Saccharomyces cerevisiae S288C: one gene and its partners. The gene in region 2 interacts genetically with the main gene of each other region. Each region holds a gene or a part of one and is shown on either strand. Other genes may lie near its edges. The genes, in order: GPM2, HSP31 and YAL064W.

Evidence for each region.
Region 1: mutations in HSP31 (region 2) and GPM2 together harm fitness more than expected from each alone (negative genetic interaction), as found in Saccharomyces cerevisiae (one large-scale study listed by BioGRID).
Region 3: mutations in HSP31 (region 2) and YAL064W together harm fitness more than expected from each alone (negative genetic interaction), as found in Saccharomyces cerevisiae (one large-scale study listed by BioGRID).

Annotation. Positions count from the first base shown.
Region 1 is NC_001136.10:412,216-415,388, forward strand, and holds GPM2 (phosphoglycerate mutase family protein GPM2), read left to right. Parts: upstream 1-1,737; coding exon 1,738-2,673; downstream 2,674-3,173. Other genes in the region: glycerol-3-phosphate dehydrogenase (NAD(+)) GPD1, read left to right, coding at 1-785; stress-regulated transcription factor RPN4, read right to left, coding at 2,898-3,173. UniProt on the Saccharomyces cerevisiae protein: Could be non-functional.
Region 2 is NC_001136.10:1,500,856-1,504,247, forward strand, and holds HSP31 (glutathione-independent methylglyoxalase), read right to left. Parts: upstream 1,306-3,392; coding exon 592-1,305; downstream 1-591. Other genes in the region: FIT1 (Fit1p), read right to left, coding at 2,459-3,392. UniProt on the Saccharomyces cerevisiae protein: Catalyzes the conversion of methylglyoxal (MG) to D-lactate in a single glutathione (GSH)-independent step. May play a role in detoxifying endogenously produced glyoxals. Involved in protection against reactive oxygen species (ROS).
Region 3 is NC_001133.9:19,605-22,524, forward strand, and holds YAL064W (uncharacterized protein), read left to right. Parts: upstream 1-1,961; coding exon 1,962-2,246; downstream 2,247-2,920. Other genes in the region: YAL063C-A (uncharacterized protein), read right to left, coding at 2,791-2,920.

The DNA of each region.
Region 1 (3,173 bases), 1.1 Mb from region 2:
CCCGTATCTGTAGCCAATTGAAAGGTCATGTTGATTCACACGTCAGAGCTATCTCCTGTCTAAAGGGTTTTGAAGTTGGTGCTAAAGGTGTCCAATTGCTATCCTCTTACATCACTGAGGAACTAGGTATTCAATGTGGTGCTCTATCTGGTGCTAACATTGCCACCGAAGTCGCTCAAGAACACTGGTCTGAAACAACAGTTGCTTACCACATTCCAAAGGATTTCAGAGGCGAGGGCAAGGACGTCGACCATAAGGTTCTAAAGGCCTTGTTCCACAGACCTTACTTCCACGTTAGTGTCATCGAAGATGTTGCTGGTATCTCCATCTGTGGTGCTTTGAAGAACGTTGTTGCCTTAGGTTGTGGTTTCGTCGAAGGTCTAGGCTGGGGTAACAACGCTTCTGCTGCCATCCAAAGAGTCGGTTTGGGTGAGATCATCAGATTCGGTCAAATGTTTTTCCCAGAATCTAGAGAAGAAACATACTACCAAGAGTCTGCTGGTGTTGCTGATTTGATCACCACCTGCGCTGGTGGTAGAAACGTCAAGGTTGCTAGGCTAATGGCTACTTCTGGTAAGGACGCCTGGGAATGTGAAAAGGAGTTGTTGAATGGCCAATCCGCTCAAGGTTTAATTACCTGCAAAGAAGTTCACGAATGGTTGGAAACATGTGGCTCTGTCGAAGACTTCCCATTATTTGAAGCCGTATACCAAATCGTTTACAACAACTACCCAATGAAGAACCTGCCGGACATGATTGAAGAATTAGATCTACATGAAGATTAGATTTATTGGAGAAAGATAACATATCATACTTTCCCCCACTTTTTTCGAGGCTCTTCTATATCATATTCATAAATTAGCATTATGTCATTTCTCATAACTACTTTATCACGTTAGAAATTACTTATTATTATTAAATTAATACAAAATTTAGTAACCAAATAAATATAAATAAATATGTATATTTAAATTTTAAAAAAAAAATCCTATAGAGCAAAAGGATTTTCCATTATAATATTAGCTGTACACCTCTTCCGCATTTTTTGAGGGTGGTTACAACACCACTCATTCAGAGGCTGTCGGCACAGTTGCTTCTAGCATCTGGCGTCCGTATGTATGGGTGTATTTTAAATAATAAACAAAGTGCCACACCTTCACCAATTATGTCTTTAAGAAATGGACAAGTTCCAAAGAGCTTGCCCAAGGCTCGACAAGGATGTACTTTGGAATATCTATATTCAAGTACGTGGCGCGCATATGTTTGAGTGTGCACACAATAAAGGTTTTTAGATATTTTGCGGCGTCCTAAGAAAATAAGGGGTTTCTTAAAAAATAACAATAGCAAACAAAGTTCCTTACGATGATTTCAGATGTGAATAGCATGGTCATGATGAGTATATACGTTTTTATAAATAATTAAAAGTTTTCCTCTTGTCTGTTTTTTTGTTGGCTCGTGGTTGTTCTCGAAAAAGGAGAGTTTTCATTTTCGAAATAGGTGATTATCATCATGTTGTTATCACCCCACGACGAAGATAATACGGAGCTCACCGTTTTCTTTTTTTTTCCCTTTGGCTGAAATTTCCCACCAGAACAAACGTGACAAAATTATCTTTGAATCCAAAGTAGCTTATATATATACGTAGAAGTGTTTCGAGACACACATCCAAATACGAGGTTGTTCAATTTAAACCCAAGAATACATAAAAAAAATATAGATATATTAACTTAGTAAACAATGACTGCAAGCACACCATCCAATGTCATGACATTGTTCTTGTTAAGGCATGGACAAAGTGAATTGAATCACGAGAATATATTCTGTGGTTGGATTGACGCTAAGCTAACCGAAAAAGGTAAAGAACAAGCTCGTCATTCTGCCGAGCTAATCGAACAATATTGTAAAGCTAATAATTTGAGATTACCCCAGATTGGTTACACCTCACGTTTAATTAGGACCCAACAGACCATAGAAACGATGTGTGAAGAATTTAAGTTAAAGCCACAACTGCAGGTTGTTTACGACTTTAATAAAATCAAACTTGGAGACGAATTTGGCAGTGATGACAAGGATAATATGAAAATCCCGATTCTTCAAACTTGGAGGCTAAATGAACGTCATTACGGTTCCTGGCAGGGCCAGAGGAAACCGAATGTTTTAAAAGAATATGGTAAGGATAAATATATGTTCATTAGGAGAGATTACGAGGGTAAGCCACCACCTGTAGATCTTGACCGTGAGATGATTCAACAAGAAAATGAGAAGGGCTCTTCTACTGGGTACGAATTCAAGGAGCCAAACAGACAAATAAAATATGAATTGGAATGCAGCAATCATGACATTGTATTACCGGATTCCGAATCTCTTCGTGAAGTGGTTTATAGATTGAATCCTTTTCTACAAAATGTCATATTAAAATTAGCCAATCAATATGATGAATCTTCATGCCTGATTGTGGGCCATGGAAGTTCAGTGAGATCGCTACTGAAAATTCTGGAGGGTATATCAGATGATGACATCAAGAATGTTGATATTCCAAATGGTATCCCCTTAGTCGTTGAATTAGATAAGAATAATGGTCTTAAGTTTATCAGAAAATTCTACCTAGATCCTGAATCTGCTAAGATCAATGCTGAGAAAGTCCGTAATGAGGGTTTCATAAAAAATCCTTAAGGGGGGTAAGTATATAATATAATTGTGTATTTTCCGAAGTATAATGAAAACCAATAGAAAACTTATTATAAGTCCAATGAGGTACTTTAAAAATGTGATATTTATAAGAACATTCCTGAATGCAGATATATGATATATATTGTAAATATATATAGATGTGTATATGTATTTCCATTTTGTGTGAGGTTTTCTTCTTTTATCTCCTATATAATTTGTAACCTTAATTAACCCATGACATAACCAATATTAGCCTTTGCAAATTTTGTAACTTCTTGACGTTGTTCTAACGACAAATCTTCATGCTTCGATTTTATATGCCTTGTTAAAGCATCCAGTCTCGAAAACGTCTTCTGATAGCCCTCAGATCCAAGAATTTTTATACACTCCGAGCAACGGAAGACAATCTTCCTTTTAGCGTGAATGGTATTTTGGTGTCTCGTTAAATCATAGGACCTTGAAAATTGGGCACCACACGGTTCATTTGTAATGAGATTCATTAT
Region 2 (3,392 bases):
TTTCAATATGACCAATTCGTGTCGACATTCTGCCATAATTAACCTGAGAAAAAAACATTTTTCGTGATCATTTAGCAAGAAACCGCAAGGAACAGCTCACTAAGATGCAAATAACCATTAGATAACTGAAACACACCTACAATGTCCCACATGAATAAACCCTTTAGGAAGCATCGGCAGCTGACAGAAATACCAAAATGAAAAAAAAAAAATTTAGAAAGTTTTATGTATAGTTTTACATATTGCATAGATGATTTGCAGCGTAACGACGCTAATGCTTTCTTCTCCATTCTCATTGATATTAACGTTGGCTAGATAAATGCTGTGCAACGGAGTGGCTGAAAAATAAATTGTAGCACCTTGTTGGAGACCAAATGTAGTCTTCACTATTAACCTCTAGCTAAAGCAGATAAAAGATAAAGATTATAAACTTTGGTTATTGGAAGACCCATCTCAGACATGTGTTTCCCCAATATCCAAATATTTCAACGTATTAACAATGAGGTACATCCCTCGTACTCAATAACGCCTCCTAAAGTTCCTTACATCTATATAGTAGTACAAAGGAAATTCTAATTATCAACCTTTGGCTCAGTTTTTTAAAGCGTCGATGGATCTTACGGCAGTGGAGTGCGCAGAAGCAGGATTCACACCTGTTACCAGTCTTCCGTCAGTAATAGAGTAATCATCCCAGGGCCCAACCGGAGCTAAATACTTAGCGCCATATTTTTTAGCAACATCTTCAACGGTTGCCAAATTCTTGGCTTTCAAAATACTATCAACACCCAAAATGGTTTCACCAACATCAGTAAAACCGGTGATAGATTTACCTTCGATCAATGGTCTTCCTGTTTTTTTGTCTGTTAACCCATCAAAAATAGCAGGACCGTGACAAACAGCTGCGACAACACCACCGTTAGCATAAATTTCGGAAGCAATGTCCTGCAAGTCTTTAGCCTTAGGATAGTCAAATAAGGTACCGTGGCCTGCAGATGCAAAAAAAATTTGGTAATCATCGGCATTCACCTCTTTTGGTGTCTTAATTTTAGCCAATGTCTTGTTGAAATCTGAGTCTTTATTTTTAAAATCCGTTTCGTCTTGACCATTTAGAAAATCTTTGGCTAAGGAATGCTCATCCCAACCAAATTTTCCGGTTTCAGATACAAAATCGACTTCAAAACCTTCTTTTCGGAATGTGTTGAAGGGATGTAAGGCTTCTACAACAAAAACACCGGTCTTGGCGCCGTCACTGTAGAATACATCGTTATATGAGGTAAGAGCGAGTAAAACTTTTTTTGGGGCCATTATAAATTTGTTTGAGTTTTATCTGTGTAATTAGCCAGTGGGAAGTACTTAAAAATGCCGTTAATAAAATTTAGCGGATGATAAAGAAATGAATGGTTCTCCTTATGGCTGTTTATATATCTGATTTAAAGGGTAACGGAAACCGGAAGCAATAATGGAACCGTGAAGCCATCCCTTGAAAAAATTTTCCATTTCTTTCATGAAGACTATGTACATGCCCCTTATGCCAAGCTTTTTGATTTTCAGGCTAGGAATGAGTAACGTTAATTCTCTGTATACATTCGCCCAGATTTCTTTACGGGATTTATGGATCCGTCAGAACAAAAAGCCGCCTCCCATGGATATCCTGCGTATTAGTCAGCATTATTTCTTTTATTCCGTAGCAGCTAAAAAATCTCCTAGAAAGAACGATCCTATCTGTCGCAACGGTACGTCGTGATTTTTTTATGGGCTTATTCTTCCGAAAGTGTTCATTAAAGCATTTGGTGCATGTTTAATGTTCTATTTTTAATACACGTAGTAAACTTCGTGTTTTCTTCTCTCTGACCTAAATTATTACAGCCATATATAACTTTTTTTTTTAAATTCGGATAACTGGCACAGTACCAAAAGCTAAAATTTCTCACAAAAACATAATTATATGACAAACTGAACTACTCATTGCTACAGGTAATTTCAATAAAATGCGCTCAATGAAGTTGTGAATTTGCTTGCTTGTCTTTCTCGACCTTCTTTCAGTATTATACTCCATTTGAATCTGATCACAAACACGAAAGTTCATTTCTTGTTTTGAACTATAAAATCATCATGTCATTTTTTAACTTTTATTTTCCTTGGCGTCAGATAAAACAAATACCCACTCTCACCTTTTAAAAAGCAAGAAATAAATAAAATGGTTATTTTTGAAAAGTCATATTTAACAAGTGAAATAGACATTGTTTTTAGATTATTTTAATCAACACCTGATATTTTCTTGATATAATATTACATACTGGTACATTCTTATAGACAGCCAGTGTCACGCAGACAAATAACATTGCGGACATAAGCTTTATCAACTATGATGAAATACTTAATTCACAATGCCATTTTGAAAAGTAAGACCACGGAGAGATCAGAAAGGTTGATTCTGCGCATCTGTCGTTAGCAGAAATTACAAAAAGATAACGGCAGCGAGCGCAGCGCCCATCAGACCCGTACCAGCGGCGATAGAATCAGCCGCACCCGTGTAATTCACGATTTGAGGAGTTGTGGACGACTTACCGTTAGTGAAAATACCAGCGGTAGTGGTTTGAACTCTTGTAATAGAGGATACCATTTTTGTGCTTGCAGAAGAACTTGATGACCAATTGTTACTTTCATGGGTACGAACAGATTGGGCATCCCTAGAAGAACTCTCTGTGTAAGCTTGCCCAATTCTAGTAGGAGTAACAATAGTAGCGCTTGACTCAGAGGAGGTGGTAGTAGATGCTACAACTGCAGACGTGGATTTAGAATTAGAGGAATTTTCAGTAGTAGTAGAAGAAAAAGTTGGCACAACAGAAGAGGTTTTTGCAGCAGAAGAAGTCTCAATAGGAGAAGAAGCCTGGACAGAAGATGAAAGAGAAGTCTGAGTAGGAGATAAGCTTTTAACAGAAGTGGTCTCGATAGTAGAGGAAGAAGAAGAAGTCTCAACAGCAGAAGTCTCAACAGCAGAAGAAATCTCAACAGCAGAGGAAGTCTCAACGGCAGAGGAAGTCTCAGCAGCAGAGGAAGTCTCAGCAGCAGAAGAAGTCTCAACAGCAGAGGAAGTCTCAACAGCAGAGGAAGTCTCAACAGCAGAGGAAGTCTCAGCAGCAGAGGAAGTCTCAACAGCAGAAGAAGCCTCCACAATAGAGGCCTCAGTAGTGGAGGGAATTTCAATAGCAGAAATACTAGAAGTTGCAACGGTGGAGGCAGGAGCGCGTTCACCCTCACCAGTCCATACGAAAGTAGCGTCCTGGGTGACGGTCTTTGTGTAGACATGTCCATTTTTGGTGGCTGTAATAGTGGTAGTTATACTCGAACCAGATCCTTCATCAGTAGAGGCAGAAGGTTCAGCAACAGAT
Region 3 (2,920 bases), on a different chromosome or scaffold from region 2:
AGTTGGTCTGGTCTATATCATGGTCAAAGGAGCAAACATATCTTCTGAAGTGACCGCAAATAGTACTATGATGTGGTTGGCAATATAACTTAAAAGGAAATAACCACAAGGAATTGCACCCATGTACACAGTTTTTCCCGGAAATTGGGAAACCAGTACGAACATATATCAATTACTTTTACATTATCTTGATTGGAAAACTGGCACAATTGACTGTGACGTTAGTAGTATGTTGTTCTTCTCTACATCAGTTAAATATACGTGTCAACATCAACTAATCAACTTTCCCCCGTTTACCACATTGAAGCTGGGTGTGGAAGATTTATTTGAAGAAACTAAAACGTACCCTGTCATTTCCTGAGTCCCCTTTCAACTTAGTGTGAAAGCCGAACAATTATAATCCTCGGTAGACAACAGATTTATTGTACTAAAGTTACTCTTCCTGTTATCTTCCTTGATTTTACTGTTATAGCAATGACCCACCGCAATCAGGAGAGCCGCCGTATGGAATAGCATACCAAGTCATAAAATCGTCAACCTATTAACGGGGTTCAGGTTCTTTTTCAGCGTAGTAGCCCTTTAACAAGCGCTGACAAAGTTGACACTCAGAGAAAATTCAGGATTTATTGTAATCCAGCTACTCATCCTTAGATCCGCTTGCAGGCATGGTTTTTTTCACCTTGAGAGGCTATTTTGGGTAAGCCAGGAAGGCTGAAAAATCCCAAAAGGACACAGTAATAAGAAATTGTTGTTGTTGTATGATGCATTTAGAACTCAAAAGACGAGTTTCTGAAAATGCTTACAATACTCCATAGGTAACATGATTTTTTTATTAAAAAAGTATACTGTTCCTTTGGGTAAAAATTATGCAACCCTTGAGTGTCCGATGAAGATAAGACTACGAAACAATTTGCGGTAAATTTTTTCTGCTATTGACATTTACACATGCTCCAATCCATTACCCTTTCCATTCTCGTAATAAAACCTCGAACTGTTATTTCATATTTACATCTAGACGGGTATCGGCCTCAACAACTCCAAACAAAAGTAAATAGAAAAGAGCCAGACCTATCGCACCGGGTAGAGCCAGAAAATATTTTAAACTATAGTTGACGTATTCTACGGCTGTTGTTTAGGACAATACTTTTTCCTTCACAGGCTTCGAATTACGCACATGCAGAACTCCTGTAGAAACCACGAAGAAAAGTTTAATTAACTTTCAAATGCCAGAACTAAAGATTGATGAAACAGTTATACGAATTTAAGGGGAACTTGCTTTTTCCTTTTGCTTCATCATAAGCGCAATATTCGCAGCGGTGGCGTCGCGTCTTACCATTTATCGGCACATTTTTCCGAAAAGGAAGGAAAATGGCGGTGTCAAACGGTCTGGTGTGACATCTAGAAGTTCGGCATTGCAAGTTAATCTACGGGAAAAAGAAAATTTTCTTATAACCCTAATGTATAATAAGGTTTTCGGAGAAAGCAACTCACGGGGAACAATTGGTTAGAAGAGACCGTAGAAGCGCCCCACTAACCTGGAGTTGATTATCGAGGATCTTTCTCAGAAAAGCAGCTAATAAATGAGCACAGTACTCAAAAATTACTCATAGTATTATAATTACTTACTTAGTCAATATGGCTGCGCTTTTAAAATGAGTATCTTTTATTTTTTGACAAGGAAGAAAAAGATGCAAGCAAAGAGAAATTTACTAAGTACAAGCTCATTTCCAAAAATTCAGTTTGCCTGTAACAATGGGTAGCGATCTTCAACATATGGGATTATGCCTTGAATGAGATTTTTGAACGTAGAGGAAAAAATCGCAGACAGGCTTTATTGTGCTGTTTGACATAGTATACTCAGCCGTTGTGGTGTTAATGAATACTATCGATGTGTATACAAACGTACTTCAAATAAGCAATGCGAATATACTGCAACTTTTCGGCCTTTGCAACGATTTGTAATGAATCCTTTTGCATCGCTAGAAGGACAAGATAATATTTCTTCTGTTTTTTTTTTACATATGCAACAATTTGAAAGTCAGGTCAAAGACAGATTCCGGTTCCCCATATTCAGATTGGAGAGAAAAACTTTTGGCAACTCATGTTACCAAGTCGAGACGCTTAAAGTTAAGTGTCGGCCAAGACACGCAAAATCTTGTAATCTTTTAACGCTGCTCTTCAAATCACGGACGCAATCAGTACTTGTACCTAATTTTGGTTTTCTAATATTGAATAGCGAACCATAGGTCGAAAATTTAAGGCCACATAAATCCAGAGCCCGCAACTTGGATAGGTATTTACTTGATTTTTAGTTTGCTTTCAATAGTGTCGTGAAATTATAAAGTACGCCGCATATATATCTTGATTAGTTAAAAATAGCAGTGTTCAATGATGATTTGATAGGGTTCATAACTGGTACCAGCGTAGTACAATTACGATTATCCATGAACATAAAAGTGGTTTAAGTACTATATATCAGTGAAGCTTCAAAGTAAGCAAACGAGATACCAAGATCTTGTAGGACCACGATATATAAGAAGCCTAGTTCCGTTGTAGCATCACATAGAAGAGAGCGACAATGCCTCAGAAATTCTACAGCAACAGAAAGCACAGTGAGTCATTAACTGTTGGAATAAGACTCAACTGCGAGCTATCGACTAGTACTTATATTACTAGTATATTATATACGGTGTGAAAAGACGACATGAAGATTGAGGAAATGGTCCCAAGATCTAATGGACACTGAAATGCAAAAGTTGATAATGTAACATGAAAATTAAGGACAGCATATTAAACAGAAGAGGAAATAATGGTATTTTTACATAGAGATATGAATTTCCCTTTTTCTTTGTTCCTATATCTCTGATAATAAGTTATAATATACTTTGTGCATCTTATATCATGCCTTTTCAACAATGAA